4 linked regions of the Kluyveromyces lactis genome follow. The protein of the gene in region 4 interacts with the protein of the main gene of each other region in a pairwise test. Links are inferred from orthologs where the notes say so. Each region holds a gene or a part of one and is shown on either strand. Other genes may lie near its edges. The genes, in order: CDC42, NAP1, NBA1 and AIM44.

Region 1 (7,463 bases), on a different chromosome or scaffold from region 4:
AATTAATACTATGAGAAATCACAACCAGCCACAGCAAGGCTACTACGCCCAACAACAGCCTGTGTATGTACAGCAACCTCCTCCGAGAGAACGTTCCAGCTGCCTAGGAACATGCTGTAAATGTTTGTTATGTTGGTGTTTGATTGATACTCTATGTAATGTTTGCTGCTAGGTAAATTTTATAATAAACCTCTAAATAGGAATGATATTCTAAACAAAAGTTCAAAGAACCTCTGCTAATTCAATTAATGGTTTATTGAAGGGCCAATTGTGTGTTCATTATGGTTCAAGGTATGCCTTCTTTTGGTAAAAAAAATTATTGGTTCGCAGAATATAAACATCAACAAAAGCAAATAAGACATCATTGAAGCCCCTGTAGCTCAGTGGTTTAGAGCATCGTGCTTATAGTGTGACTCCAATCAATATGGAACATTCTATGAAAATTGGCCCTTCAAAAGGTCGTTTCAAAGCAACGCGATAGTCGTGGGTTCAAACCCCACCAGGGGCATCTATTTTTTTCTCATATTTCAACTATCTTTTTTTTATGGGTTACTATGATGATTCTGATTTTTACACAGAAATTCACGCAGAGCGTTGTATCTGAAATTTTTTTCTTGTCTTGGTTCTTCCTTATTTTCAAATTGAAAGTGAGAAATGACATGAAATTTGAATATTGAACAATCAATTAATTACATATTACACATGATGATGAGTTTATCGAGAAGAGAAAATCATCCAACTTTATCGCTCTGGAAACGCTTAGTCTTTTGGTTAGAACGGGGAAAAAGGTACCCTGTTTATTAATAGTATACTTGTACTCATTTAAGCTTTTTTTGTTTCCAGAGTTTCCCGTAATTTACAATCGAAAGATGAGTGGAAAGAAGACCAAATCTGGTAAAGCCAATCAGAATAAGAAACAAGAGGTTGTTCAAGATGAACGTTTACAAGCGATTGTTTTGACTGACTCGTTTGAGACTAGGTTTATGCCTTTGACTTCGGTGAAACCAAGATGTTTGTTGCCGTTGGCCAACATTCCCTTGATTGAATATACTTTGGAGTTCTTAGCTAAGGCCGGAGTCAACGAAGTTTATCTGATTTGTGCATCGCATGGTGAACAGATCCAGGAATATATCGATCAGTCCAAATGGAGTTTACCATGGGCTCCGTTTAAGGTGAATACCATCATGTCGCTAGAGTCCAGATCTGTTGGAGATGCAATGAGAGATGTCGATAACCGTGGGCTAATTACCGGTGATTTCGTACTTGTTAGTGGTGATTTGGTGACTAATATGGACTTTGAAAAGGCTTTAGATATTCATAAACAAAGGAGAAAGGCTGATAAGGATCATATTGTCACTATGTGCCTAAGTAAAGCGACTCAGTTTCATAAGACAAGGTCTCATGAACCAGCAACGTTCATTTTTGATAAGTCTAATGATAGATGTATTTACTACCAGGATATCCCATTGGCTAGCTCTAGAGAAAAAACTACCATTGATATTGATCCTGAACTTCTGGAAGGTGTTGACGAGTTTGTGTTACGCAACGATTTGATTGATTGCCATGTAGATATCTGTTCTCCTCATGTCCCTGCTATTTTCCAAGAGAATTTCGATTACCAATTCTTGAGAAGAGATTTTGTTAGAGGTGTGCTTTCTAGTGATTTGTTGAAGAAACATATCTACGGGTACATTACCGACGAATACACCACTAGAGCAGAAAGTTGGCAAACGTATGATGCTATCTCGCAAGATTTTATTGCTAGATGGTGTTACCCATTGGTTCTTAATGCCAACCTTTTAAAGGGCCAAACTTATTCATACGAAAGCCAACACATTTATAAGGAAAAAGACGTGGTATTAGCGCAGTCCTGTAAGATAAAGAAAAACACGGCCATCGGCTCAGGATCCAAGATTGGAGAAGGTACAGTCATTGAAAATAGTGTTGTTGGTAGAAATTGTAAAATTGGCTCAAACATCAGAATCAAAAACAGTTACATTTGGGACAATGTTGTCATTGATGATAACACTACAATTGAGCACTCTTTAGTTGCTTCAGATGTTAAATTAGGATCAAACGTCACCTTGAATGATGGTTCCATTATCGGATTCAATGTAGTGATTGACGATAATGTTACAATCCCAGTTGGAACCAAGATTTCAGCGGTTCCAGTACAGAGGAACACAGCTCAATTCTTAGATACAGCACATAATCTTTCTTCCAGCGATGAGGACGAAGAAGGAAGCACATTCACCAGAAATTCATCTTCTTTATCAATCAGTAATTCCGATGAAGTTGCCGATGCGAAGATTAAACTATCTAAGCAGTTGGTTGGGCCAAACGGGAGAGGCGTACTATACGAAAGTGATGATGAGGATGAAGATGAAGATGGATCGACCGAAAAGGGTATTGCGAACACATTAACGTACAGAGACGATGACATTTATTTATCGGATACTTCCATATCATCCATCACTCAAAAACATAGAAAGAGGAGAACCATGTCGATGACTAGTATCTATACTGATTACGAAGGAGAAGAAGACGAAGAAGAAGATTTCGAAAAAGAAGCCATCGCAACAGTTGAAAGAGCTATAGAGAACAACCACGATTTAGACACATCAATGCTTGAACTAAACACTTTGAGAATGAGTATGAACGTCACTTATCATGAAGTCAGGAATGCTTCTGTTATCGCTATATTCAGAAGAGTTTACCACTTTGTAGCCACACAAACACTAGGTCCAAAGGACGCTGTCACTAAAGTCTTACAACAATGGGGTCCTGTGTTTAAGAGACAAGCATTTGATAGTGATGAGTTCATTGATCTAATGAATATCATTCTGGATCGTGTGCTAGATCAGAAATTCGATAAACCAGATTTCATTCTATTCCATGTATATAATGTCTTGTATGATTTGGATATCTTAGAGGAAGATGTCATTTACAAATGGTGGGACTCTGTAAGCGGTGATTCAAAATACAGCGAAGTTACTGCTCTACTGGCCAAATGGGTGGACTGGCTAAAGACTGCAGATGAAGAATCATCTGATGAAGAAGACAGTGACGAAGACGAATAAGTCAATAACGTCATAAATGCCCTTTGAATTTTCATGGTTCCTCCGAAGTTCAAGATTGGTCAATATCAATCAATATAATGTAGCATGTAGCATTTCGAGTAAACGTGAGATAACCATATGCAAAGTAATCTATAGACAAATATACGTACGCATTTCAAGGCTAGTGTCCTCACTACCGGACTGCCAACCGCCTATGCGGTCTTCCTGTATTCTATATGGGAGAGTTTGACTGAAAATAATTCAAGTCACGTTACAACGTTACCCTAACTTCCTTATCTATTAACATATTCCCATTTCAAAATTGAAATAACAGAACAGGAGGACGAAGATATGTATGTGATGAAGGAGAGTAGTCAGACAAATTGGATGTTAGACATAGCACAGTCAGCCGGAAGTAACACCGTAAAGGCCTGCAGTGATAGTAGTATAAAAGCAAGGAAGAAAGGAATTTAAAACATGCAAACTCTTAAGTGTGTTGTTATAGGTGATGGTGCTGTCGGTAAGACGTGTCTTCTAATTTCATACACAACTAACCAGTTTCCAGCCGACTACGTTCCAACCGTTTTCGACAATTATGCTGTTACGGTGATGATTGGCGATGAGCCATACACGCTAGGTCTTTTCGATACAGCTGGTCAAGAAGATTATGATAGATTAAGACCGTTATCATACCCATCAACAGACGTGTTCTTGGTTTGTTTCAGTGTTATATCTCCTCCTTCTTTTGAGAACGTAAAAGAAAAATGGTTCCCAGAAGTACATCATCATTGTCCTGGTGTTCCATGTTTGATTGTGGGTACTCAGATAGATTTAAGAGATGATAAAGTGATTATTGAAAAACTACAGAGACAAAGGCTTCGTCCTATCACTCCAGAGCAAGGTGAAAGGTTAGCCAGAGAGCTTAGAGCCGTAAAATATGTTGAATGTTCGGCTCTTACCCAGCGTGGTTTGAAAAACGTTTTCGACGAAGCTATTGTTGCTGCTCTGGAACCTCCAGTCATTAAAAAGAGTAAAAAATGTATTATATTGTGAAAAGTGATCGGCCTTGTATTTTTTTTTTTTATTACCAGTACATGTATCAGGTAAGAAGTTTCTCACTCAAGGATGAGCGTTCTTAACAATCTTCCCGTTCACCATCAAGTCCAGTTTTATATTTATAGATGATTGTGAGATAGAGAGTGTGTTTCCAAGTTTTTGCAGGTTCAAAAGAGAAAAAAAGCTCTACCCCCCATCTCCAGAAAAAGCGTTACATTTCACTAAACCAACATCCTAAAACTACCAAAACTACTTCATAACTCTTTGACATTTCTATAGACAAACTGAAGTACCAAACGTTTGGTTCTTTGTTTGAATTCTAAACCGTCTAAAATACGAAACTGGTTCGAAGCGAAAAACTAAACACTATGGAGTATCGCTTTGTTTAAGTATAAAACCTCAACGAAATTACTCTTCGTGTGTGGATTTCATTATCTCATGATATATTTAACCTCTCAGGCTTCTAATTGACTTTTAGCTCAATAGTTTATATAAATATAAAAACATTTTCCATTTAACATATTGCTTTAATTATACTATTTGGTCTTGCAAAGTACTTTACACATCCAAAAATACAGAACTTCGGAACGTCTTATAAAATCATATTTAAACCATCAACCATATTTTAAATAACATTTAGATTCCATGCAATATTTTGGATGATGAAATGGATGTTACTTCGCATTAACCTGGGTTACCTGTAAGATAGAACTGTCTTATAACAAAACAATAAAAATCTCGGTTTTAATGGCATACGAACTCAAAATATATAATAATAACAATCTCTTCCAATGAATACACCCCCCAATTCTAACTCTTTGAAGCGCCAGCGGTAAAGACTTTCCATGCAGTGATGAATATGCAACATCTTCACTTATTCACGTGACTTTTTTTTGTTTCCTTCTATTCATTCACTACCCTCCAAGAACCGAAATTCTAAGTTCGTGAAAAACCTTCAATACAAAATACTAATATTGTAACAACAAGCGATTTTGAAAAGTGTAATTGAAGTGAGCGCTTTGAGAAAAGTATCATCAGATCCACTACGACCGTTAATAACACTGAACGATGGCTCAGGTATATGGGAATTCACGTTCCGATACGTTATTTCTAGGTGGTGAGAAAATTTCTGGCGATGACATCCGTAACCAGAACGTTTTAGCCTCTTTAGCAGTGGCAAATGTCGTTAAATCATCTTTGGGGCCTGTTGGTTTAGATAAGATGTTAGTCGATGACATTGGTGACTTCACCGTTACTAACGATGGTGCTACCATTCTCGCGCTTTTGGATGTTCAGCACCCAGCTGGTAAGATTTTGGTTGATTTGGCACAACAGCAAGATCGTGAAATTGGTGATGGTACCACCAGTGTTGTCATCATTGCTTCTGAGCTATTGAAGAAAGCTAATGATTTGGTCAAGAACAAAATCCATCCAACTACTATTATCACTGGTTACAGGGTTGCTCTTAGAGAGGCAATTCGTTACATTGATGAAGTTCTTTCTGTTCCAGTGGACACTCTAGGTAAAGATACAATGCTAAACATTGCAAAGACAAGTATGTCTTCCAAGATTATCGGTTCAGATTCCGAGTTTTTCAGTAACATGGTCGTTGATGCACTATTAGCTGTTAGAACTCAAAACGCGAAGGGTGATGTTAAATATCCTGTCAAGGCCGTTAACATCTTGAAGGCCCATGGTAAGTCTGCTAGGGAATCCGTATTGGTTCAAGGTTACGCCTTGAATTGTACCGTAGCGTCTCAAGCTATGCCAAAACAAATCACCGGTGGTAACGTCAAGATCGCTTGTTTAGATATGAATCTACAAAAAGCTCGTATGGCAATGGGTGTTCAGATCAATATCGATGACCCAGAACAACTAGAGGAGATTCGCAAGCGTGAAGCTGGAATCATCTTGGATAAAGTGAAGAAGATTATTGATGCTGGTGCTCAAGTCGTCTTGACCACCAAGGGTATCGACGATTTATGTATCAAAGAATTTGTTAATGCCAAGGTTATGGGTGTTAGACGTTGTAAGAAGGAAGATTTAAGAAGAATCGCCCGCGCCACTGGTGCCACACTAGTCAGCGATATGTCGAACTTAGAAGGAGATGAAGTATTTGAATCATCATATTTGGGTACATGTCAAGAAGTGGTTCAAACCAAGTTTTCAGATGATGAGTGTATCCTAATCAGAGGCACTCAAAAACATTCCTCGTCTTCCATCGTATTACGTGGTCCTAACGATTACTCGTTAGACGAAATGGAACGTTCCTTACATGACTCGCTATGCGTAGTAAAGAGAACACTTGAAAGTGGGAATGTCGTACCAGGTGGTGGATGTGTGGAAACTGCATTGAACATCTACCTAGATAACTTTGCTACTACCGTTGGATCAAGAGAACAACTAGCTATTGCAGAATTTGCCAACGCATTACTAGTGATCCCCAAGACCTTAGCCGTCAACGCTGCCAAGGACTCCAGTGAATTAATCGCCAAGTTAAGATCGTACCATGCGGCTAGCCAGCAAGCGAAACCAGATGACATAAAGAGGAGAAAGTACCGTAACTACGGACTAGATCTAATCAAGGGTAAGATCGTAGATGAAGTTCATGCCGGTGTCCTTGAGCCAACCATCAGTAAAGTTAAATCCTTGAAATCGGCTTTGGAAGCATGTATCGCCATTCTAAGAATTGACACAATGATAACAGTGGACCCAGAACCTGAAAAGGAAGGAGACGCCTGTGCTTAAACAATAAAATTTCAAACCTTCCTCACCCCCTAGATAAACCCTTTTGTACATTAAATATCTACAAACCACATTGAGAAAATAACATTGTTACTCTAGCAGATACGTCTCTGACATGCCTGTACAAATAACAGGCCAACGTTTTACAATAAATAAATACATTAAACTAAATACGAATGGAGTCAGTTACAAATTTACTCAGCCTGTCGGACAAGAAAAAAATTTCCCAACCCTTCTTTTAAGCTTATATACTGCCGCTTTCGTCCAGACCATGCCGCAGACTTTCCCAACCTTAAACTCATCATCTTATTCATCATTCATCATTCGTCCTTCTGGTCTTATTCTGTATCACCTGGTCTCTTGTGAAATCAAAAAAAAAAAAGTTGGAAAAAAAAAAGTTTTGAAAATCTTAAACCTGATGATATAAACCATTGATTTTACCACTTAAACGAGGGTATAATTTGACATCATCAAAGGGCACAAGACACAAGAAGACCATTTTGTTCGATAACTGAGGCTACATACGCAGTTCAACCTGTGGATATTTTCAGAGCTTAGAGAAGTCTTAGAGAAGTTCAGCTTAGGTCGAAGACGTTATAGTAT
Region 2 (8,151 bases), on a different chromosome or scaffold from region 4:
CATCGCTTAGTGCATCGGATTGTAACCATTTGGCCCATTTGGAGGGGTAACCTTGGGATCTCACTATTAGCAAGATATCATTACTTATGTCTTTCAAGATGACAATGAAATGGAAGTTGTTTTGTCTCGATGCGTCGATCAAAACAGTGTTAGAATCGGCTTCGGATGATCCGTCTTTCCCAGTAACCTCGCAGGCCAGAATGCTGACAAAAAGATCGCTTACTTTACTCACTGGGTTACTGGTTCTTCTCGATTGTTTCTTAGCAGTCTCCCACGTCTTGATTGCATTGTCAAGGTTGGCCAAGCATAATTTTTCACCGTCAACGGCTTTACCTTGGAAAAGGTTCAAGTTAACGTTATCATCCACTTTCCTGCCGTGATCCCATTCATCAGCAAATATTCTTATTCCACCTTGCACCTGTTGCGATAGTAATCTTTCGAATTGGTCTTCCACCTGATACGTAATCGTTTCCTCGTTCAAATTGTGTAAATCATGAACCAAATGAATTCTGATCACTTCATCCGTTTCACCAATGACAATCTTAGTCAATTGTGAAGTAAGCCCAGAAATGACATGAGACCCCTGCAATGCCGTTAATCTGGCCCCTATGTCGTTTATTTTCAAGTTGCCCTCTTGAGTAGCTATCTTCTCTTTCAATTGATTGGCTTGTTCTGTGGTCTTGTTCCAGAAACTGGATACTGTAGCAGAACCGCTAGATGACCACCAATTGGAAATTGACGCCAGTGGGTCCTGAACTGCCTCTTCACCTTCTTCTGCCACATGTTCTTCTTTTCCTTTCTGTTCACTCGGTTTCTCTTTACTGGCTGTCTCTTCTACAGGTTTCTCGTTCGATTCTGGCTTCTCCTCCGGTTTCTCTTTCTCTTGCTTCTTAGAGGATTGTGGCTTGTCCTTTTTGGACGGTTTCTTCTTAATATCCAGGTTACTATTTTCCAATTCGTCTAAGAATTCCATAATATCCTCATCCTGGCCGCCGTTCCCACTAACCTTACCCTTTCCCTTAGTGTTATTAGCAGTACTGGCTGGTAAAGAGTCTAAAAACTCTAGCACATCATCGGCATCACTAGTCATTTGGTGTTTTCTTTTTAAGTCTTTACTGTCGATAAAACTTGAATATTGATACGAATTGTTCAATCAAGAATCGATATATTCAAACTAGAAAATTATCGCTGAAAGGCAAGACAAAACTCCAACGGTTGAACTTAAACTAGCCTCCTAATCCTTGTGAACACAAGTATATAGTTTCTATCCTTTCTCTATTGTCATGGTTCCAACTACCGTGTGTTTTTTTCATGTATTGGTCCATTCTAAGGGTGGGTCGTATTTAAATATCCGGGTAACTATGTCACTTTCATTACCATGAAATAACGCTGGTATACATAAAGTGAGCAGTTAGCCGAAATGTAATGAGCACCGTGGCCTTTATCACCACCTATTCTTACCCCTTCCATAGATGGTGCTCTCCAGTACCAATGTCGGCATGTCTTGGCTTAAATCTTAGCATTTTTCATTAACTAATACCGTATCTATTTTGTACTGCCGTTTCTTTTCTAAAATTTTTCATCTCATCTCATCGCGAATCTGTTGAAAAGTTAATGCATCTCCATACCATGTACTTGATCCCCCGTTACTATTCACCTGTGCTAGCTATCTTGTTACTTGTTACTCTTAGTACTGGCTAGTATTCCTGGAACTACAAGTTAACGGTTAATCACAGTACTAAAATTCGAGATGCCATCTAAGAACTCCATTAACAGGCCAAAGCAAAAGGTTAACTTGAACCGTAAGGTTCATCAACGTGCTGCCAAGAGAGATGCTATGGAAAAGAAGGGTTTATTGGCACCAGCAAGATCTTCAGGAACATCTAAATCTGGTCAGTTGAAGAGTATACCATTGGATCTTTACAAAGGCGAGCATTCGACCTCTGGTGCTCTTACGACCAAGACTCTTTCGAAGAAAAGAGCAAAGAAGATCGAACGTAACTTGAAATACGTGGAACAAAGAAAACTATTAGTTGATCTACAATCTCAAAGTGAGGAAAACGGTGGTATGCAGATTGATGCGCCTGTTGTGAAGAAGGAGAAGGAAACCAAGAAAGGACAATTGGAAAAGATGAGAGAGGCTATTTCCACGGTGTTGGAAGATATTCAATCTCAAGGTTTATCCCTTCAGACAGGTTCTGGTACAACTCTAGGTGGTCAGTATTTCTTGTAGAGAGTCTTAAAAATCGTTAAATGGGGTTTGCATTGTCTATATAAACATTTTGTATACTAGGATAGATCTTAAACGGATCGTTCATTAAATATTATTCTGACATAAAAAAGAGTGCGTATATGTACTTAGGTACTTACTACTTTTCGTATAAACCTTTGGTCACTAATGCATCATTGACCTTGGTTTTCATAAATCCAATGACATCTGCTGGGTCGTGCGCGCGGAACACAGAGGTACCGGCAACAATGACATTGGCACCTGCCTCGGCAGCAAGTTCGACATTCTGTTTACCAAGACCACCATCGACTTGAATGTTCAAATTAGGAAATCTAGTTCTCAAGTCCTTCACTTTGCTCATCATATCGGCCATGAATTTTTGGCCACCGAAACCCGGTTCGACAGTCATTACAAGAGCCATATCCAGGGATGGTGCCAACTCGTACAACACATCCACAGGGGTACCTGGCTTCACAGAACAGGCAGCCTTCATACCATGCTTCTTAATTAGCTTAACCAACGCTACCGGGTCCTTTGTAGCCTCGTAATGGAATGTGAACTGATCGCAACCGATCCTAGCAAAATCTTCGACCCATCTTTCAGGTTCACTAACCATCATATGACAATCGAAGAATGCTCTTGGTAACTTGGTGTCTGGATCGTTGTACTTTCCGATAACTTTACGTAGCGATTCGACAACCGGTTGTCCCAATGACATATTAGGAACGAAGTGACCATCCATAATATCGATGTGTAACCAATCGGCACCAGAGTTAATCACATTGTGACATTCACAACCTAATTTAGTGAAATCACTGGCTAGAATAGATGGGGCAATAATAGCACGAACCATGTTAAAATTGAAACTTATTATAGTTTTGTAAACTGCTGACCTTAAACTCGAACAGGTAATGGTAAATCGTATTCTATAATGAGCAGAGCAGACCGTTAATTGGGTAGTTGGTTCTTGTTTGAAAAGAATTCCCTGCTGCTTTTTCTAATTTTATTGCATTCTTTATAAAACTGAAATTCTGATATCCAAAGAAAGCGACTATTGAGAGAAAGAAGAGGGGATCAGGATTACTTCAGAGTATTTTACAGCTCAAGATTCATTATATAATGTACCGTTGATATCAGGAGTGCTTTATTCCGAGTTTTTTTACCAGGAATTGGTACGATTTAGTCCTTTGAATTGGCATACGGTTGCAGTATTTGCATGCTTCCGTGATCTATTTTAATATGTAAGGAATATATAAGAAGAGCATTTTTTAGCCAGAAAATTTTCTTTCAGTAGGAAACGTAACAGCTTGGAACATCTGATCGTAGAGGTAGTGGGCTATTTGTGATACTTGGAGTGTTGCAGCAGGATATTTGAACTACATTAGCTGTATACATTTGAGTGTATTTGGCAAAATAGTAAGGATCACATCATAAAAATGTCCAACCCTATCAAGACATCGAGGTCGAGTAAGATCGATAATGCACCAACGCCTCATAACACACCAGCTAGCGTGCTTAAGGATTCATATTTAAGGAAGAAGCAACAGCAGCAGTCTGACCAGGATCAAGATCAGGATGACGATAGCGAATACAACGAGAGTCCATCTTTATCCCGGATCAATGAAAAGTTGGAGTTCTTGAACATAGACGAAGAAGATGAGGGTGAAGAAGAAGAAGAAGAGGAAGAGGAAGAAGGCGATGAAGAAGCTTTCGAAAGACTCCCAAAAGCTGTGAACAATAGGATCTTAGCCTTAAAGGCTATTCAGTCCGATTTGTTCGAATTGGAGAAGAATTTCCAGCTTGAAATGTTGGAACTTGAACAAAAATATCTGCAGAAATACAAACCATTACACGAACACCGTTACGAGTTGATCACAGGTGATAAGGAAGCCACTGAAGAAGAAATCAAACGCGGGGGATCTTTGGATGGTGAAGATGAGCATGAAGAAGAAGAGCATGACCAGGAACCGGAGGAAGGTGAGGAAGAGATCGTTGGTGTCCCTTGTTTCTGGTTGACAGCCATGGAGAACTTACCAATGGTTTCTCAAAACGTGACAGAAGCTGACTGTGATGTATTGACATACTTGACGAACATCACTCTAGAGTATCTAACTGAGGGTAAACCAGGCTTCCAATTGATTTTCACCTTCGATAAAGAGAACGAATTCTTCACTAACGAAACTTTAACAAAGACATACTACTACCAGTCCGAATTGGGTTACTCTGGCGACTTCATCTATGACCATGCAGAGGGTGAAACCATTAACTGGGTCGATAATGACCATAACGTTACAGTCGAAGTGAAAAGACGAAAACAAAAGAACAAGACTACTAAACAAATTCGTACCATTGAAAAGCTGACACCAGTGGAATCGTTCTTCAACTTCTTTGACCCACCAAAGTCTCTGGATCCCGAAGAAGAAGACGATCTTGACGAAGAAGAAATCGCTGAACTTGAGAGTAGATTGGCTGTAGATTATGCTATCGGTGAAGAGATCAAGGACAAGTTGATTCCAAGGGCAGTGGATTGGTTCACCGGTGCAGCACTAGAATTAGAATACGGCGATGAACAAGAAGAAGACGACGATGAATTTGACGATCAGGACGGTGAAGAAGAGGAAGAAGAGGACGACTTCGCTAATAAAGATGCTCTGAAGAAAGTCCAACCTCCAGAATGCGAGCAATCCTGAAAGAGATTTTTTTTTTCACATCCACCGATATATAGTAAGCAGTGGTTATCAAAAGTATTTACTCTCTATCTAAACATCACCCTAAGCTGTGGCCTTGCATCAATCTACTCAACGCATGTTCCAGATACGGACGGTGCCTGGCATGCATACAATTTGTGCGCGGTTTTCCACCTGTTCTTATTTTAAGCAGGTGGAAATATATGGCCATAAGGTCTGGACATGCACATCATGTGGTGTCAAAGTCAAACGGAAGTAACGGTCTAACGGTCTGAACCCCTGAAGGCCCCGTTACCAGTAAGAAAAATGGGCTGAAAAGGCACAACTAAGAGCCCTAAAGACAGCAAAAGTGTATAGCAAAAAGAACTACGAGCAGATTACGAATGAAAGTACATAGGGAGCAAGTCTGTTTATTGCTTACTTTTTGGGTAATAGCAAGGAATGGTGACAAGACTACTGGCAAGGCACGAAATAATCCGTGGATCTAGAAACATATCTGATCTACATATTCCTTCCGGATTAACATGGCAATGTTAATCGCAGTTGAAACACCAACTACGTTAGCCCACTGTATCCTTCAGTTTCGTTTTGGTTTCTATCTCTGCCTCTTTTTCTGCATTGAATTCAAATTAAGGAAAACTTGTGATAATGTTTTAGAGACTGACTATAAATAAAAGGCATTGCTTTGAGTTTCAAAGGGATACGAACCTATTACATATAAATATATATTTATATCAGTTTATTAAGTTTGTAGAACTGCAAAGTACTTTTAAAGGCGAAATAGAGTTGTGCAGTTGTTGTAAACCAGGGAAATCTATCGTTTTTATCCATTAGAACCAAATACAGTACAAAGATCCTTTAAAAATGACAGGCCCAGTTAAAAAGCAAAGGTCCCGCTCCTCTTCTTCAGTTAGACTTGTTGTTGATAAACCATCTACTGATAAATTTGCTACACAGTATGCTACTATCAATCATTTGAACAAGTATCCGACGTTGATAAAGTGGCTTAATGCCTTGTTGAGCTTGTCTTTGGTGTCAAATATAATTTCTACCATTTCCCTAATTTTGTTCCAGTTCAGGATCAAAGTCATCGAGTCTCCAAAGACCCCAACGTTCGTGAAAAGATCGTTCAACAGATCAGTTGCCATTGTCAAGAAGTTGGACGAATTCATCAACACCTTGGTGTTCAGAGAAGGTATTGATACGTTCGTTGAAGAATACCATGACCATGGGAAGTTAGGTGTATGGGTGGCATATTTCGTAGTAGACTATACTGCTAATGTGGTGAACTATACAGTGAAAGAATTGATTTTGAGACCCTTGTCTTTAATCAAGGATGAGACGCATCCATCTTCTAGTGGGAAATCTGTTGACTTGCCCCATTTCAAGGAGTTGGGAAACACTACCAAGGATGTATTGGAGCCTACTAAAGAGAAATTTGTTGCCAGGTATGATAATCTGGTGAAGCCAGCTAAGGATGGTTATGAACAAGCCATTTCCACGGCAAAGGAAACATATTCAACTGCCTACAAGACTGTTTCCGATAAATACGACACGAACTTCAAGGAAACTGAATCCGTTCCTAGAGCTATCTTGACTACAGGGTCAGATTTGGGTTCATTGACCATTGAAAAATTGAAGAAGTACAACGGTGTCGGTGATGAGTCAAATACAACTGTCGACACAGAAACCTCCGTCAAAGGTTTGAAAGGTCTCTCTACCTGAAACCAGAAGCAACTTCTGCGTTTGTTTGTGCTTTTTTTTTTTTCACTGCCAAGACCATTCTTAAATGTCATTTATGCAACCAAGTGGTTCCAAGAAGCTAGTTTGTTGCTTTTTCCCTCGGCCTCTATCACTATGTATGGATAATAGATAAGGATACGATGCAAACTATGATATCGACTAAGCAGCAGGAGAAACACCAAGCTTTAAAATATTCAAGAACTCTGTATGGCTGGCTCTGTACGTTATATTTTACAAACTAATCAAGACTATTATATTCTATTATATTATACCCCACGTCCTCTTTTATATAACCCTTTTGGCAATGCAGAACCTTTGAGTTTCGACCAGATATATTTATGTACAGCTAGTATAAATTAAATATCCTTAATGAGGTTTGTGCTATTATTACAGCAAAGAGAGAGAAGACTCAGAATTTGAAGCTTTGACGTTGTAAACGGTATCGTAGAAAGAGCGACTGGTTTTTATCGAGTAAACAATGGGTATTAAGGAGAATCGTGACGTTCATATTTCTAATTTAAGGCTAAAGGCCTTGGCTGTGGTGACAGTTTTGTTGTTTTTATGTGGTTTGCATTTATCCAGATGGTCAAGGACCTTGAAAGATAATCAGACTGCAAGTGAACCATTGTGTCCAAACGCACCAAATTTGAAACCGCCTTCATACATCAATGATAACTCGACCTTGGAAATGATCACACACGATGTCGAATATCGTAGCGATGCCGTTGAGAAACTATTAGGATCCGTTAGAATTCCTACTGAATCGTATGATTCTCATCTAGATCCTATTGAATTTCCTAAGGTATATGAAAACTTCACAGTGTTACATGACTATTTCCGTAAGACGTACCCTGCAGTGCATAAGACTTTGAAACTTGATGAAACTAAATACAAATACAATTTGGTTTACGTTTGGGAGGGGAAAGATGCTAGTTTAAAGCCTTTAGTTTTAGCAGGACATCAAGATGTCGTGCCTGTCAATGCAGAAACCATAGATCAATGGGGGTATCCACCATACAATGGTACGTTTGATGGCGAGAATCTTTTCGGTAGAGGTGTTGCTGATTGCAAAGCTTTGGTCAATTCGGTTTTTGAATCAGTGGAATTATTAATTAAGGGCGGATTCCAACCAAAGCGTACTGTGATCTTGGCATTTGGATTTGACGAAGAAGTTGGTGGCGGATATGGTGCCCAGACCATAAACGAGCACCTTATGGACAAATATGGCACTGACGGGATATATGCCATTGTAGATGAGGGTGGAAGTTCGGTAGAGAAAATTGGTGACACCTATTTCGCTTTACCGGCAGTTGGTGAAAAGGGTTCATTAAGCAGCATAATTCAGTTGAACACAAAGGGAGGACATTCTTCGGTGCCTCCTGAAAACACTGGTATTGGTATAATGGCTGATTTGATCCATAGTGTAGAGACGAATCCATTCAAACCGTCCCTCCATTTGGAAAATCCGTTCTTGAAACATTTGTACTGTAT
Region 3 (8,678 bases), on a different chromosome or scaffold from region 4:
CCCAGAACAACTAGAAGAGTACGACCAGTTGTTGAACGAACTAGATTGGGATATCTACTACTGGGCCACAGAAAACTATTCCATTACACCTCTTCCTGACAGATGGAAGAACTCCAATATTCTAAAACAATTGCAAGAGTTCAGTAAGAACAAGGATCGTGAAATCCTAAGCATGCCTGATCTTTCCAAATACTGAACATCAGCGGTATACGTACTTGCCAATTAAGCAACAGTATAGTCTATAGCTCTTATTTTATACCCATATGCTCTCTCTCCCTCTGTCGCGGCAGCTCATCATTTCCAGGGCAGGCCCAAGTGAAAAATTTAACCCGTACACCGCATACTTAGATCCAACATTGGCGAAAGTCTCAAAAATTTTGTTAAGATCATAAAGAATGATATCGTTTATATGATGGAAAATATCATAAATGTAGTCGCGTAGTCCGTTCTAGAGGTCTTGTAAGGTCGTGTTGCGAAGGGTACGTCCAAGATATCAAGTGTTCATATATTAAAGCATGTCCAGTAAGACTCCTCTTTATAAATTACCACCTCTTCCCAGACTTAAGGTGAAAAAGCCAATTATTCAACAAGAGGCTAACAGATGCTTGGTATTGATGTCCAATCTATTACAATGCTGGTCTTCTAACGGACACATGTACGGTGCATGTGAGACATTGGCCCAAGATTTGAAGGCATGTACCGCGGAAAATGCCTTAGGTAAGAACCAAAAAGTCCAGAAGAGTAATATCAACTATCATGCTGCTAGATTGTACGATAGAGTTGGTGGAAAATCTCATGATTAGAAAGAAGCAGACAGACTTTCTCCCCCTTCGTTATCACTTGTACATAATACCATTTTCTAATATTACATATATCATCTAAAATCAAGGAATTCACGATTTATTAAATATGATAGAGATTTTTGTAGCTATTTGTGAGTGGATTCATCTCAAACTTTTCTGGCGAGTCTGCCAGCTCTTTCCCACTCGTCTTTCGTTAGATACCATCCCGGATGGAACTCAGATGAATCATGCTGTTTGATGGTATTAAGGTCATTCTCGTTAATTTCGTTACAATGCATGTTAGAATCTCCTCTGTAATTGTTTTCAATTTCCCATTGGAAATCGCTATGTTCAGTCTCGGCCTTTGTCATGGAGCCTATAGGTTCTGGTATCCGTAGGTATGGATTTCTCAATGTGTTGTTTACACTGCCCAATGAAGTGAATCCCATCTCATATAATCCGCATACTTCTTCTCCCGAATACAATAGGAAACTCCATATCTGTGAGAGATTCCAATGTAGCAACGGTTGCAACCTGTAGAACTGGGGCCAACTGGGGTCCGTCTTTTGAATTGGTTGCAACGTCTCCCCAAATGGATCTGTGTGTCTAATGCCGATTACTATTGCCTGAGTCTCTGGATGTACCGATAAGAACGACTTGAAGGCACTTGGCATATCGACCTGTTTATCCTTCGCTGATTCGTATAACGATAAGTGATATCGCTCCACGCTCCGTTGTAAGAAATCTTGTGCCGTAAGAAAGGTATCCTCTTGATCAATGTATACAGTGGGTAGTTGCTGCAACGGGAACATGTGGAACTGGAGATCGTACTGTGATCCCTGTATTGACATGAGGAAAAATTCCCATAGACATCCCAGATATATGATTAGCAACACTTGACAATCCTTGCCACCGTTGTATGAAAATGATATCTCGCCATTGAACGGATCCCATCTAGTGAATATATCCTGCAGAAGGTACCGTCTACTCAGCTGTATCGATTCTTGAGTCTGTTTTATTACATCTCCGGTTGTGGCTACGGCAGATTCGGCATCGATCGATAAATACGACTGAACGATGTTGTAACAGTTCAGGGCAACGTCTTGCAACATTGCAGAAAACGTATCTGTATTATCGGTTCACACTATCTGATCTTTAGCGAAGTCCTAGACTTCTGCATTTACGGTAAATTGAATCAAAGTATATTGTAGTTGTGTCAAGAAGGTTTATAAAACCTCGAATTGCCTTTGAACGATTTTCATCACATAAGCCAAGAAGATTGAAAAGAGGTACAAAACAAAACCATTCCGTTTACCATCCGAATGATACCGCTCGTGACTTTATGTATTCACCATCAGCTACATTTATAGGTGTATTATCTATATTATCTTAATTATTTACATTGTTAGCTTGTTGTAGTTGGTCTGGCAAATCTGTTTTCCTTACCTCATCAACGATCTTTTCAACGTCTTGAGGTATTTCGTCAACTGGTCTATGACATTAGCATTCTCTGTACACCACAATACACTAGTTTTACTCAACTCCTGGTCTGCCTCACCGATTCCAGCGTTTTCGCTCACAATGACATCCGTTATAAACCTCACTTGTTCGCATATATCTTCCAAAATCTCTGTAGTGGCAATATCACCGGTGATACCGTTGGCATCCATTTCGTATACCAGTTCCTTTACCATGACCAAATCTTTATATTCTTCCCACATAAACTTAATTAGCAAGTTGTAGAAATCGATGTTGCATACGTCAAGGTAAAGGCCGAGATCTTTACAACTTTTGCATTTATTGTAAATTGTCTTTAATATAATATAGTTTCTATCTCCAGGTAGTTTGAACTCTCCACTATCAAATATGTACCGTATGATGGCAGGTAACGTTATTGAATAAGGTTGTGGTAAATTGGATGGTTCCTCGCAAGATCTCTTGTGGATCACTTCGATGAACCTTTTCGTTTGAACCTCCATCTTGGGATCCCTTTGCAAGTATTGGTCCAAGTAATGCATGCAAGTGTCCAACAACTCTTTATCTGTGGTCACAGTCTTCTTTAAATGATTCAAATGTGGGGCTAGTGCGTGTTCCAATGCTACTCTCAACTTCTCTTTTTCTGCCACTAGTTGAATGGCTTTCTCTATGCCGGATAATCGCACATTTTGATAACTGGTCGCCGATATTGGTAAATCTCTTATATCATGATCACTAAGCCTGAAACTGGAATGGGGTAGCGGTGTCTGGCTATCAGAATCTTTATCCGTCTCCATTATCCCTGTCCATGATGGTGATTTATCAGAGAAGACGATCTGTTTATTGAAAAACACTGGATTCAATAACCTGTTCATCGCCTCTTTATCCGGGTTCTTTTTCTGTTTGATCTCTTCTATCACCTCAGAAATGGTATTATGTTCTTCAATAGCATCTGCGGTGCTGCTGACATGCTTCTGCCCCAGTTTACAGCTCTGTGAAAGTAGTCTTCTTGTGGCTCTTGTTGTTACATTATGGAGATGAGCTTTAAATAAAAGAGATGAGTTCATTCTGGCAGCATTCAACATATCGTAAACCACCTCTGTCCTTAGATTGGCTCCTTATACAAGCTTAAACGACTGGTATCAACACTGTGAGAGACAATAGATTGAACCGTAGGCATCTTTTGCAACGTCTTTTATTAATCAAAGCCAGTGTTTCCTTCTTTGATTTAAGAATTTTTCTTTCAATACTTATTACATTTGGTATATATTGATTCTTTACTGATAACGTTAATACAAAACTGAGAAGAGAAAAAGCACAAAAAATTCGTATCAAAACCCATCAAGGGCTTTAGTAGCTCTTTCAAGTCTTCTTAAACCTTCTTGGTACTTTTCTGGATCCAGAACCATATCTGCAGTCAATCTAGAGAGAGAATCGACCAATCTTTCAAGAGCTCTTTTCTCTTCGATCTTCATACCAAGGTTAGAGAATTCTGACCCTATCAGGGTTCCCTTTGTAACATTCAATAGTTGTGAGATAGTATCTATATCGAAGGATCTTAGTTCTTTGTTGTGTTTGGATCCGATTTTTTTGGTTTGATTGTGGCTTTGGTTTTGGCCTTGACGTTGGTGAGATTTGGATCTGGTCTTCGAATGGCCTTTCTTGGGAGCCTTTGGCAGCTTACTTTGTGGAGTCCTTACTGATGAGGCAGCTTTAGTGGAATCAGCACCTTTCTCTACTATGTCCTCGTAATCATCATCATCTTCTGGATCTTTTACATTGCACACTGCCTGGTCATTCGGTTGTTGTGTGATTTGGTTCTCTGGGGTCTCCAATCTTGACGATGATGAGCTTGGAATAGAAGGTAGTGGCCTAGTAGTGTATCCATCCTCCTGTGGTCCCATGGTATCATCTTGCTCAGTAGCAGAGAAGAAACTTTCAGATCTCACACTGCTTTGTCTTGAATGTCTCTCACTCCGGCTTGCACTGGCACTGTGACCTTTCCCCATCTCCTTTGCAAGTTGATTCTGAATATCATCTAAACTTTCCTTGATAAATATATGTGACTTGGGCCTTCTTGCGCTTCTTGGTGGTACTGTTGGATGTAAGTCTGATATGATTTCAAGTTCTGGTTCAGCACCAGCGGTCTTCTTACTGTTAACTTGAGTTTCTAGTGGTGGTAATATACTCGAAGCAATTGATTTGATTTCGGATACCTGAGATATATCTTGCTGGCTTGGAGCCTGTGATATGTTTAGTGGTGTAGTGTCCGAAATTGCTTCTGTGACATTGACCTTGGGGATGTTATTATAATCAGAAACTGGAGTTTGTTGTTGCTCATCGTACGATTCCTCTTTAATTGTCGTCGTTTCAAGTTGAGATAGATGTTGACAGTCACCACTGTTACCAGTAGCACCATATTGCGAGGTATGGTCCAAATTTACCATGCTGGATCCCGAATTACTTGTGGCAGATGCGTTATAGGAATGTCCACTTTCGCTTGCTAGATTACCTGATGCGATTGATGAAGGGACCTTCTGATGGGACATCTCCATAGATACAAGTTTTAATGAGTTGTTTTTCTCTAAAGTAGGAGTCGTATCTGTTTCAGCTGGTTGCCCAATCTGTTCTTTCTTTAACGAAACCTGAGGTTCTTCCGTATCAATAGAGTTTCCTACTGGTTTTGTTGTTAATTCAGACAATGCATCTGCTGATGCAGCTGACCATTCGCTCTTAGTAGGGAAGGGCGGTAAAGCTGGCTCTTCAAAATTCTCCTTCTTCACAGCGGTAGTACTGTTATTTTTGACTATATAGGAGACTGGAACACCTTCATGGACAGTGCCTGAATAAGCCGATATTATGCTTTCTCTGTTTCCTGGCGATTGACCGTTTAATTGTAAACGATTCCCATCTGGAGAAGGCTGAGGGGACCCATACGTATTGAAGAATGCCACATTTTGATCGTTAGATGTATATGACAATTGTGGAGATGCCCTTTCAGCAGAATCTATTCCCTTGCTTGGCATATATATTTCATCATCCAAACTCTCATGTAAGCTGTAATTCTCGATCATAGCAGAAAGTCTGTTGTAATTAGGGTTGTTGCTAGCGCTTGGTGGCCTAACTGCACTCTCCAATGGCTCTTTACTCATTGTATTTGTCCAAGATAGTGCTTCTGGTTGTAGTATTTCCCTTCTTTCCAGATCAACTGTTATTGATACCTGGGATAGTATCCTCTAAAATAGACTTGTTTCCAAAGAATTCCCTCAACAACAAGCAATTTCAAAAATAAATGTATCTACCTCAATAAGTAGATGGTTGTTAGTTGCTACAATTACTATACTGGGTTGACAAACCTCTAACCTGCGTTTAGATCAAAGATTCTTACAGTCAGTAAGGTGTTGATGTTTTGATTTCACTGTTGATCTGAATTCCAGATCAGGAAAGATAGTAAACACTTAGTATTTGAAGGTCAGGTGACAAGAATTGAAGAAAATGGAAGTAGACAATAAATAGGTGTTTACATTAGTACCGCACCTTGATGCGCGTGTGTATACAATGATATAAATGCATACGTATTAAATAGTGTTTCGAACTTAGTTCATAATGTACATTAGTTGCTCTTAGGGCCAATTCGTTTCAATTCATCTTGGAACTTTCTGTAAACATTAAAATCGAACTTGGCAAAGTTGTAATCGAGGTCTATGAAAACTTTTGATATTTGACAGCTCTTGTAGTAGTAATTGAGGAAATTACTGGAGTATGGGTCCACTGATGGACCATAGAATTCTATCGGAACTGGTTCATGGCTGTAATGATTATTTTTGAAATTTTTGTAGAAGGTTGTGAACAAACCAGTGACGATGGGTGTATCATCCTCTACGTCGGAATGCTTTTTGGGTCCGCCAAAAGAGCTTGAGTTATTGTTGCTGTCGTTGTTACTGTTTGTTTCATGGTTCTTGAAATGCGATGGGAATAACCCTTGGAACATTTCAAATGCTGCCAAGGTGAAACCGAACTGTGGGGAACTTCTCAACACACGAGCCGGTCCACCTTTGAAAAATGATTTGATGCTTTCCTCTTTCAAGATCGTTCTTGCTGCATGGATTACACCTGTATACGTTGTTTCTCCCTTCCTGGGATCGATTTGTAATCTGGTCTTAATCACATCAAAAGGAGTGGTCAAATAAGCTGCTGGCATACCTGCGATCCCACCAGCCAAGAGGAGTTCCCAGGTTTTGAGTTTGTTTCTCTTGTTTTTATCATTTGGATCAAAATTAAATACATCCTTCTTTAAATGAGCATATGTTGGGAAATATATGGCGGAGAATGGGACGTCTCTCAGTAAGCATGCTGCGGCACCTTTGTAGAGACCGCGAAGGCCCAATTGCCTTATAATTCCTACTGCACCTAATTGTGGCCTTGCATTTTCACCGACGTAATCTGATCTCATTTGTAATCTGATCTTTACGATTTCCAATGGATTTGTAAACACAACTTGGCAAGCACCAGCGGTGGCGCCTGAAAGGATTTCTTGGTACCATTTAATCGTACGAGACTTGTTCATGAAATACTGTCTCATGAAATCGTTCACTGTCAATTTGATAGCTTTTTCGGGGGCTACACCGATTAACTGTGGGCCTAGACCAGAGTAAAGACCTCTAATACCCTTAGTTTGGAAGATTTTCACAACACAATCAATGGAGTTTTTGTACTGTACACTGTTACGTTGCGCTTGCATTCTTGTCTTTACCAGGTCAATAGGGTACACGACAGTGGCGCCGATGCACCCAGCTATGGAGCCTAACGTAAAGTTATGAATCGAATCAAAGATCGGGTAGAAATAGAAGTTAGAGTACCATGATTCCGATCTAATTCTCTTCAACTCCATGGAATGCACAATATCGTTCAAATAGTTAGGGTTCAAGATTTTCATAAAGTCTTCCATAGTAAGGTTACGACTCTCGGCAGTATCCTTTGGAGTCTTACTTGCCCAAAGACGATCCAATAATGAGACTCTTTGGCTTTGCTTCCTTTCGTTATGTTCTTGTAACGAAGAAGCCTGGCTAAATTCATCCACAGTTGAGTTATAGTTTTCGTTGAACTCTTTAATAGTCCCCTTATTAATATGAGGTCCCATCTGAACTTGGCTATGAATGAAATCGTCGATGGTTTCATCAGAGTGGTGCATCGAAGTCAAACATTGGTGCCTTGACTGTTTTGAGTTTGATACAATGGAGAACAAGAGGTTAATCTGTGATGGGGAAAACTCTACAATATTCGTCACTTTGTTATACTCTTTATTCAAAAACTCCATAAAGTCCCTCTTCGTAATCACTTGCTCTCTGACATCGTTCTCATCGAATTCGTAATATTGTGCGTAACGTATAAGCACCTGGTTCAAAAGATCAAAATTCTCAAATAAATAAAATATGTCTTTTATGACATTGTATTGGATATAATTGTTATCGCATTTGATAAGCTTTGTGTTGGATAAATCCAAAGAATTGAAAACATCTGAAGAGACTCTGTGAGAATAGAACAATTTCAAAAGGTAAGATAGCTGGTTCTTGGAAAGCGTCCGACAATTTTTCGATGGGTTCAGATGGCATAATTTATTGAACCCAACGAACATTTTCTCATCTTTCAAATCGCTTTGCAAAATCGTGACGAGCGAATTCAAAGAGAAATAAGTGCCTGAAGATTTCCCAAACGGACTACACTGGTAAAATGGGAACCAACGAAATTCGTTCCAATTCAAAGCCAAATCATTTTTCATAATAAATTCATCGTTAACGCATTTTTGTAAGAACGAAATAGTGGACTTAAACTGATCGACGTTCAAATACAGCTCATCAAAACTCAGGAACTTATTCCCATAATTGATATATTTCACACGTTGATCATCGATATTCGAAGTTTGTCGGGCCCGTATCCTTGCCACATCAAACTTCCTGAAAAACTCATATAATACAATCAAATGGTAGTTGTTGAACTCCAAGATGTTGTTGAAATGGAACCAATCGTTGATGGTTAAATATCCTTTATTCTGTTCATCCATGGCGAAAAAGATACATCCAAATACATTCTTCGGGATCTGATTCAAATTGAACGAGTGATCAGTAAACTTCGAGTACAACGACTGCGAGTTCGATATAAGCCTGATGAAATCATCGTACCTTAACACCGACTCACCAGTCTCTCCGGAGTCCGAAACATCGCTAGCATACGGTTCTCCCAGCTTTTTCTGCTCAGCAGTAAGCACACTGGCATATTTGCTAAACACCTCCAGCTGCTGCTTCTTTTTCTCGCTATTCGAATTCACTAGTTCCATCTTTGCATGTTGTTATATGTCTTTAATACTTTTTGCCTTGCTTCTATTTCTGTGTCTCTCTTTAAATCATATAATAAATAATAACG
Region 4 (8,335 bases):
CCGCAGATATGCGATTTTTCACGTATATAGAGCGTGAACCGAGACGTACATTGCTGAACATCATTGTAATTATATGTGCCTCGATATAGAAGTATCCTTCTATCTTTCACTGAGGGAAAACCAACAAGGAGTAAACAGATTCCAGATTTTCCAATAAACAACTCGTAGCAACACCTAAAAAAACAGCTCGCTTCAAAAGTCTCTAACCCTTTGACAGTGGTGATCGATCTAGTAAAACTAATAGCAACCTTGACGTAGATGTTAATGTTCTGCTATCAGCACGTTATTTGTTGTATATCGCTGTTGTATTCTCGTGAGGATAAACCTCTCGTTAAATGGGTTGATTATTAAAAGTGAAAATCAGGTATCTTTATTTTCAAATTTCTTTTCAGTTTCCGGAACCTGTAGATGTGTGTCATAGGTAACGATTATATTACATAATTTTTGTCCAAAATACTAATAAACAAGTGACTTTAGGCTATATGTTTGTAGCCGTGGCAACGCTTAATTACCCATAGAGCATCTGATTCCAACGTGTAGCGATTTCTTTTACCAACGATTGCTCGCATGTCAATTGTGTGTTTTTTTTTTTTCTATCTAGAATTGTCTTCATCTGACCTTACGTATTTTATCTTATAATGGGTTTTTGAAGAAAGAAAAGTAAACCTTAATGCTATCGGTCTTTAACATTATGGTAGTTATTCATGGATTAATGTAATAGAAAGAAGGTACATTAGAAAAGAGGATCAATAACAGTGTTTGAGTGTTAGAGAGCTTTTCAGCTACTAATGGTATTGGGAGAATTATATTCGTTATTACCGTGGGTTCAAACTGTACAGCAGTTCTTACCTGATGAGCTGTTACAATTTAACAGCGAACCAGGCAAAACTGCAAAAAGTGTCAGCATTAAATCATTAATTGACAAATATGCACCGGAGTTCCAACATAATAGCAAGTGTGTGATTCCACCTTTTCTTTGCAGTGGTCATATGCAGACGATTTTTGCTTCGATGTTCACTTTCGAATCGAAACATTTGGTTTATTATAAGAGATATATTCTCAATTATCCAGACGGCGGTGAAGGTGCACTAGATGTGTGTGTTCCCCAATCGTTATGGAAAGAGACTGGTTACGTTCCCAAAAATCAGAGAAATCAACTGCTTCCGAGGTATACCTATTTTGATGCTGATGAAAAGTTCGGATCGTCTGATACAAAGCCGATGCTCATTATATTACATGGGTTGACAGGTGGTTCTAACGAAAGTTATGTCAGATCTTTAGTTGACACCATCACGAACGAGTACAATTTTGAAGCCTGCGTCTTAAATAGCCGTGGGTGCTGCCAATCAAGCATTACGACACCATTTTTGTATTGTGGGCTATGGACTGATGATGTAAGGTTTTGCGTGAAGGAATTGAGGAACAAGTTTCCTAATAGAAAATTCTTTTTATGTGGGGTCTCTTTAGGGGCAAGTATGACGGCCAATTATCTGGGACAAGAATCCGATCAATCAGACGTAGAATTAGGTGTTGTGTTGGGAAATCCATGGGATTTAACGGCATCATCTTATCATTTGGAAAGAAACTTGATAGGGAAATACGCCTACACTCCAGCGTTAGCGAAAAATTTAGTTAAACTAACGACATCTCATCTTGATGTTTTGAAGCAAAATCCTGAAATGGCGCGTATGTACGCCGACCACCTACATGAAGTGAAAACAGTGGAAGAATTCGATAACTTTTTTACGGCTAGAATGTTTGGATTCAATACGTCTTTTGAATATTACAGGCACGGTACGAGTTCGAACAGATTAAACAAGTTGAGAACTCCATTACTGATTCTGAATGCCTTAGATGATCCTATTGTTGGATGTGAAGCGCTACCATATCGTGAAGTCCAAAGTAATCCGTACACCTTAATGTTAACAACTACAAGGGGAGGTCACATTGGATGGTTTGACATGAACTTGGACAGGTGGTACGTGAAACCGTTGTGCAGATTGCTTCATAAATTTTATACAGACATTTCAATGCAAGGTCTCGCACCCGATCTTAAATCTGTTGACCTGCCTAAAGAGAATAAATTCAAAAATGATAGAATCATCAGATAAAGTTAATTAAACAACCCTGTCTATATCTGACTCTATCTGTTGAGAACTAGAAATGCGATAAATATGAACAACAAACGTGGTTATCTTAATATGAATATATAGGAATCAATGATGTTGTAATGCTAATGAGGGGAGGTGGAAGAAGGGAGTTATGTCCAGGAAAAATATGTCAATAATAAATGGGCTCTCTCCTAATGCTAATGTATTGAAATGAGATATCAGATGCTGATACCTACAGGTAATGTTAGATTTCTCCGAACACCGGCTTTCACAGAGGTTTGGAAATTAGCTAATGACGAAAAGCTTTCGCGTAAACTCTGTGGAACAACTGCTGGTGTACTTCTCGAGGAATCAGTTAGAGTGTCGAACTCATGAGGGGAGTCACATTCTGACATGGAGTCATTTTCTGTTTGTGCGTCGTTATTCGAAAAGATAGCATCGCTTTCATAGTCTGTGACAATGGCGTCAAGCAATTCTTTGTAAGTATGGTGATCTTGTGAAGCTTGGAACTTCGCGACTTGCAATCTCATCAAAATTCTTTGTGAGATAACTGCACGAAGGTAAGAATCCCAAGCCTTATTTGCATTCAGAATTTTGACAGATTCACTCAATGATTCCATTGAGGCAGACGAACTCATAGCGTCTTCGAAGACAGAATCACCATCATGTAAGGATGATGTAATAGATCCCATCTCTGACTTTAGTGGTTGCATCTTTTGTGTATCGATAATATATTCATCTTCGTCTTCTTCGTCTTCGTCTTCTTCTCTAATACAATAATCGTCATGATCGAATTGAGAAAGTGGTATCACCTTATTTTTAACAACGATGGAAGGTTGTCTTACCGCTAAGTTTAAATTTAGAGAAGGTTGAGACCTAACTAAACGGGTTGAATCAGTTCTTCCGACGGAAGAATTACTTCTAGAAAAAATAAGTGAATTACTGCTCGTAAGGATCGATGCTGCACGCTTAATAGAGGATGGAGTTCTCCTCAATGAACGATGGTTGATGTTGGAGGAATGCTTGACAATCGGGGTATTCTTTATATCCAATCCAGATGGAACGGTTGGAGAGGATGTATCAGAGTAAGAAGCCATTGATCTCATCGATTGTGACCTCTTAATATTTGCGAAATACCCGTTTGAACGAAGTAAATGTGATGTTGTCCTCTTATCAGACTTTGCGAAATGACGTTGTTTGTACGTAAAGAGTTTGCGTTTTAGAGCCAGGTGGAACTTCTTAAGGTTTAATCTTACACGTTTACCGAGCTTAGTGAAATAGTGTAAGAGTCCACCTTTGCATCTTATCGCATTTGATCTTTTTATATTCGACCTTCTTGACACAGTCGAAGTTGATCTTTTGACTGATGATTTCCGTTTCTCACTTAAGTTCGTGGCGTTTCGCGTTTTCGTAGACGGCGTACTACGCTTCTTTAGCATTGCAGTGGAGTTACCAGATGACAGTGTGAACTGGAAAGAAATATTGTCGGCAGTCGGCAAAGTGAAATCAGAGGTAACCGTAGAATATGCTTCTGGTATGCATTGCATATCAAAGTTACCATCCAATGGCCTGCCAAATTCAGGTGAGTTTGTGGGACATATTCTAGGTGTTCTGTCCGGTGCCAGTGTTCCAGGATAATGCACTGAAGAACCGGAAGATGATATATATGAGTACCTGTTGTTTCCAATTGCACAAGCTGTGTTCTTGACAGCAGACAACTTGTCAGGATTAGTCGTATTATCAGATATGTTAGCAAATGAGTAGTATCCATTAGATGAGTTACCGGAGTTGGAATTTGTCGTGGTATAGTCAGATAAATGCTGGGAGTGAATATCGTCTTCTGGCTTCTTATTCAATTGCTCGTTTAGTAGATGATGGTTGTTTAAACCATGTTCTGGCAATTTAAGATGAGCCAAAACTTCAACATCTGGGAACCTAAATTCTGATTGAGATCCATTATAGGACTTGGTTTTGGTTCTTGTGGGAGTTCTGATCATTTATTCGGTAATTCAGTATTTACCAGCTAGAGTATTCGATGATAACAGTATTGCACGTAATTTTGAGTAACGCTTTTAAGATATTTTACGAAGCTTGCACCAGGAAAGGTTACGCAAGTGGCTCATGATGACAAAAAAGACTCATACAATCGTGGAATCGCTTTCCCCATTCAGCTTATTCAAGTTCTTCATTCATTCCTTCAAATATATATATATATATATATATATAGATACTGAAAGGATGATACCAGACAACAATTTAAGGAACAAGCTGACCTGATTCAGTATCAATGATTAGTTGCAGGGCCAGCCATATTTACTAGAGGCCGCATACGACACTCTACTGGAATAGCAAATATTGCTGACCTTGTATCAGCTTGCCCTTATCTGCAAAGACATGCTAAATTTCATGCTGGGTTCGTAATGAAAAGGGAAATTAGATGCTGGGCAGAAATCTCATCCGTACACCACGATGGAATACACACGTGACCTGTTTCACAACATCTTACTCATAAGGATATCTTGAAAGGAAATTATTCATTCAGCCCAAGTGACAGCCTGCCCATCTATAATTCTCTTAACATCAGAGTGCCTAGATTATCATCATGAACTGAGTTTATATATATACTTTTAGAATACCAGATATTTGTTGCATTTTGTACCAATATATATTTGGTGTCACATAATGTATCGTCATCTCAAAACTAAGTTAAGACTGTTTCAGAATAATAGCAGAACAATGATAACCTGCTTTCTTTTATCAGTATTTTGTCTTGATGTATTTCACTACCATTTTATGTAATTACTTTAGTGCCAAATCCATTATATTTTCTGGTTAATGACGAAGGAACTCGAAAACTTGAAATTCGCTATGATATTAAATCAAGCTGACAACCGAAGAACTAACTGACTTTACCATATTCTGGTAAACAGTTACATTCAACGGTTTATCTACAGGTATAACTTCAGAACAGAGTCTACTGTACTCTTTTTGGAACGGTGGGAGATGAAGTACCCCTATATCCTTTTTTGTTGAAGAGTATTCGTTCTATGTCAAAGTTTTCAGCAAAGCGGGGCTACAAGAGAGAGGTATTCTCTACTTTACACCTAAAGTAAATGCAGACATGCCGCATTGTTAACAACTAGAAAGGCAAGGGTTTGTAGATGCAGGTCAGATGTTGGTAAAATCACACATCTTGGAGATGGCACTTGCTAATAGTTCCTTTCTATATTGGATTTCTTTTCTGCAACCATCATTTTATAAATTTAACAAAATTAATGCAGAGAGATGCGATGAGATGGGATAGTAAAAACAACACATAATATAGTTATAGTTTAAAATAATGGAGCAGAACTGTTGTCCAAGTCATTAAGATATTTATTTAAAGCCAGATGTCGTGGCTCTTAAAGACGCCAAAAGATCTTGGATGTTTTGAAGGAATAGATGGAATAAACAATATAAAAGTAAGGCATCGATTAAAGAAACATTTCTTCGATGATAGTTACAGAATAAACCCTTACCAAAGGCCGAATGATAAGAAATTATTCAAGTTCTGGAAAAATAGGGCAACCATTTTCAAGCTCATAAATAATGGTAACATATATTTAACAGACGAATTGTGGTTTAGTGTCACACCCGAAAATCTTGCACAGTTTACTGCAAATTATGTTAGGCATTGTCTACCCAATGGAAATTGTATTGTTGATGTGTTTTGTGGAGGCGGTGGTAATACCATTCAGTTTGCAAGATTATTTGAGAAAGTTTACGGGATAGATTCAAATATCGACCATTTGTATTGTGCCTATAAGAATGCTGAGTGTTACAATTCTGCTGTCAAGCTTAAACTGATATATGGTGACTGGGAAGAATCATTGAAAAAGACTTTAGTCAAGAACTTGGGAAAAACACCCGATTGCATATTTGCTTCACCTCCGTGGGGTGGTGTTGACTATTTGAGACAGGACACTTATGACCTCGAAGAACATTTACAGCCGTCGCCATTATCAAAGATACTTAGCGTTTTCTTCTCTGTATGTCAGAATGTAGTTTTGTTTCTACCGAGAAACTCAGATCTTGATCAGTTGTCCTCAATTACTCATGACTTATTAGGCCCTGATGAAAAATGTAAAGTTGTTTATGTTAAGGATAACGGTTACATGAAAGGAATACTTGCATTTTGGGGGAGACCATTCTATGATTTTTCTGAGTACTATCCAACAGAAATAGAGGAAGAGGAATCGCATGAATTAAATAATAAAAGATCATCGAAAGATCTTGAAATTAAAATGGAGGATTTGTATTGAAACATTTGTATTTCACACTTGTGTTTCACACTTGAGTGCTTAATGGACTTTTTGTAGATTGAAATATTAGTATACTGATCACCTCAAGTATTATTATAGAAATTATAATACATATAAAATGGAAACAAAAGTAATGGAAAATGGCTTCCTTTCCGCAGGAGCCCAAAAATAGTAGTAAAATGCGAGAAGCGAGAAATATAGGTCGTCATAAAACACTCATTAAAATGATTCTTTACTTTGTTCATACAAGCAAATAACCACCAAAAATGCAAGGAACTCAAGAGTTGGATGGGATATCCACCTTTGAAATAGATACCTTACTATCAGCAACGTGTCTAAGCTTTGATAGAAGGGACCCGTCTGCATGCTTGTTCAATATATCGTCTTTCAAAGATTTGTTGATTAAGGAAACGCCATTAATGAATAAATATGGGACATCAGGAGATTTCGAAGATTCTCCATAGTTTGATTTATAAGTTGCTAGCCTATTCAACTGGATATATTCTTGCATAGAGTCACCAAATTGATGTTTGTCCAAGTCAACAACAATAATCTCTGGAGAAAAAGTGTACTCTAACGTCAAAACATTCTTCAAATCCACAGAGTTTTTCTCAGAAGATTTTATGAAAAGAATCACTGGCGAAGTATTCAAGATCTGCTGAAATCCTAAGCTTGGACTGAACCGCTCATTACTAACAGTGATTCCACCAGTTCCACTGGATCCGCCGTGTTCAACTATTACCGGTGCTACTTCGGATTCCAGAGGAGCCGTCATCTTAGGTGACAGGACCTTGTGTTTACGTAGTTCCATCCGCTTAGTACCTTCAGCTTCGTTGATCACAAGTTTCTCCTCCACAATAGAATCTGCAGCAATATTCGTAGAAGCATAGTTGATTCCACTACTAATGCTACTAATGCTACCATCAATACTTGGTAGTGCACTTACATCAGAATCATCTTCGGCACCAATCTGCAAAGTTCCAAGCGAAAACTGCTTGTAATTCATAAACGACTCATCGCTACCGACACTGTACAGGATAAGCAAAACGACACTAAACAACACAAGCGAGGTTACCACTAATCTATTGCCCTTCTTACTTGTCTTACCGGATCTGAGACCCATATTTCACAATGATTTATTGTCAATTTTCGCGTTGCACTACGCATAAAAACATATACCTAACCACATGCAACAAGAGAAAGGTTGGGATACCTTTATAAATGTAACTATATAGACATACCTACATATATATATATGTGTGTGTTTATAAATGTGATTATGCTTTCCTTTGGTACTTTCTTCAGAAAAACTTGGTTACCCCAACTTTATTTCTCGAAGCCTTGTTTTGTAAAGCGAGAGAAGTTATGAAAAAAGTCACAGAAAGGTTCGCACAGAACTAACGTATCTAGTTTCATTCCTCGATTTATTGGTGGTTCCTTTTGGAAAATCAAAGGAAAATCGAAATAATACACCAAATTGCTGATAAAAAACACTAAAACATGCGCAGGACACAGCCCGAATAATATCCCCGACTGTTATTGGGGATCAGGCAAGAGTCGGAAATCCCAATTGAGGTACAGGGAGTAAGGAATAAGACATGTTCCACGAGAAAATCACGTAAATCAAAAAGCGTAAAAATGAAAAAATTAGGGAAGTTTCGCAGTCCGGACTGGGAGACCTCGAGGGAAGATAAAATGGGAGAAAGGAAGATTACAAAAACAGAAGCAGGTGTGTTTCTGTGTCTATGTGTTACTTATTAACCGTTGCTTACTGATTCTGTAGGTTCGTATTTTTTGTCTTTAGAAGATGTTGTTACTCATAAGTTCTTTCCTATCTAGTTTTGTTGCCGGGTGAAATTGGATATAAAATTTCTTTTTGATTTTCCTCAGTGCTAGTTTTTCTAAGAGCGTGTTTTTGAGACC

Evidence for each region.
Region 1: the proteins of AIM44 (region 4) and CDC42 interact in binary tests that used the Saccharomyces cerevisiae proteins (3 or more experiments, as listed by UniProt). The link is inferred for Kluyveromyces lactis from reciprocal best matches to the Saccharomyces cerevisiae genes AIM44 and CDC42.
Region 2: the proteins of AIM44 (region 4) and NAP1 interact in binary tests that used the Saccharomyces cerevisiae proteins (3 or more experiments, as listed by UniProt). The link is inferred for Kluyveromyces lactis from reciprocal best matches to the Saccharomyces cerevisiae genes AIM44 and NAP1.
Region 3: the proteins of AIM44 (region 4) and NBA1 interact in binary tests that used the Saccharomyces cerevisiae proteins (3 or more experiments, as listed by UniProt). The link is inferred for Kluyveromyces lactis from reciprocal best matches to the Saccharomyces cerevisiae genes AIM44 and NBA1.

Annotation. Positions count from the first base shown.
Region 1 is NC_006037.1:378,892-386,354, reverse strand, and holds CDC42 (Rho family GTPase CDC42), read left to right. Parts: upstream 1-3,536; coding exon 3,537-4,112; downstream 4,113-7,463. Other genes in the region: GCD6 (translation initiation factor eIF2B catalytic subunit epsilon), read left to right, coding at 870-3,080; chaperonin-containing T-complex alpha subunit TCP1, read left to right, coding at 5,184-6,863. UniProt on the Saccharomyces cerevisiae protein: Involved in development of cell polarity during the cell division cycle, and essential for bud emergence. Affects signaling in the pheromone-response pathway through the STE20 protein kinase.
Region 2 is NC_006041.1:1,340,012-1,348,162, reverse strand, and holds NAP1 (histone chaperone NAP1), read left to right. Parts: upstream 1-3,666; coding exon 3,667-4,920; downstream 4,921-8,151. Other genes in the region: DUF5427 domain-containing protein MTC1, read right to left, coding at 1-1,090; ALB1 (Alb1p), read left to right, coding at 1,751-2,233; ribulose-phosphate 3-epimerase RPE1, read right to left, coding at 2,370-3,083; PLN1 (Pln1p), read left to right, coding at 5,782-6,642; KLLA0_E15005g (M20 family metallopeptidase), read left to right, coding at 7,139-8,151. UniProt on the Saccharomyces cerevisiae protein: Acidic protein, which assembles histones into an octamer (in vitro). Involved in the regulation of the localization and the function of the septins during mitosis. Involved in the function of B-type cyclins.
Region 3 is NC_006041.1:1,178,935-1,187,612, forward strand, and holds NBA1 (Nba1p), read right to left. Parts: upstream 5,411-8,678; coding exon 3,590-5,410; downstream 1-3,589. Other genes in the region: succinate dehydrogenase assembly factor SDH5, read left to right, coding at 1-196; MRP10 (mitochondrial 37S ribosomal protein mS37), read left to right, coding at 516-803; FAD1 (FMN adenylyltransferase), read right to left, coding at 950-1,894; MTF2 (Mtf2p), read right to left, coding at 2,225-3,343; AGC1 (citrin), read right to left, coding at 5,872-8,592.
Region 4 is NC_006040.1:511,811-520,145, reverse strand, and holds AIM44 (Aim44p), read right to left. Parts: upstream 4,109-8,335; coding exon 2,330-4,108; downstream 1-2,329. Other genes in the region: PET20 (Pet20p), read right to left, coding at 1-64; MGL2 (putative carboxylic ester hydrolase), read left to right, coding at 789-2,111; TGS1 (RNA methyltransferase), read left to right, coding at 5,501-6,412; pheromone-regulated protein PRM4, read right to left, coding at 6,690-7,535.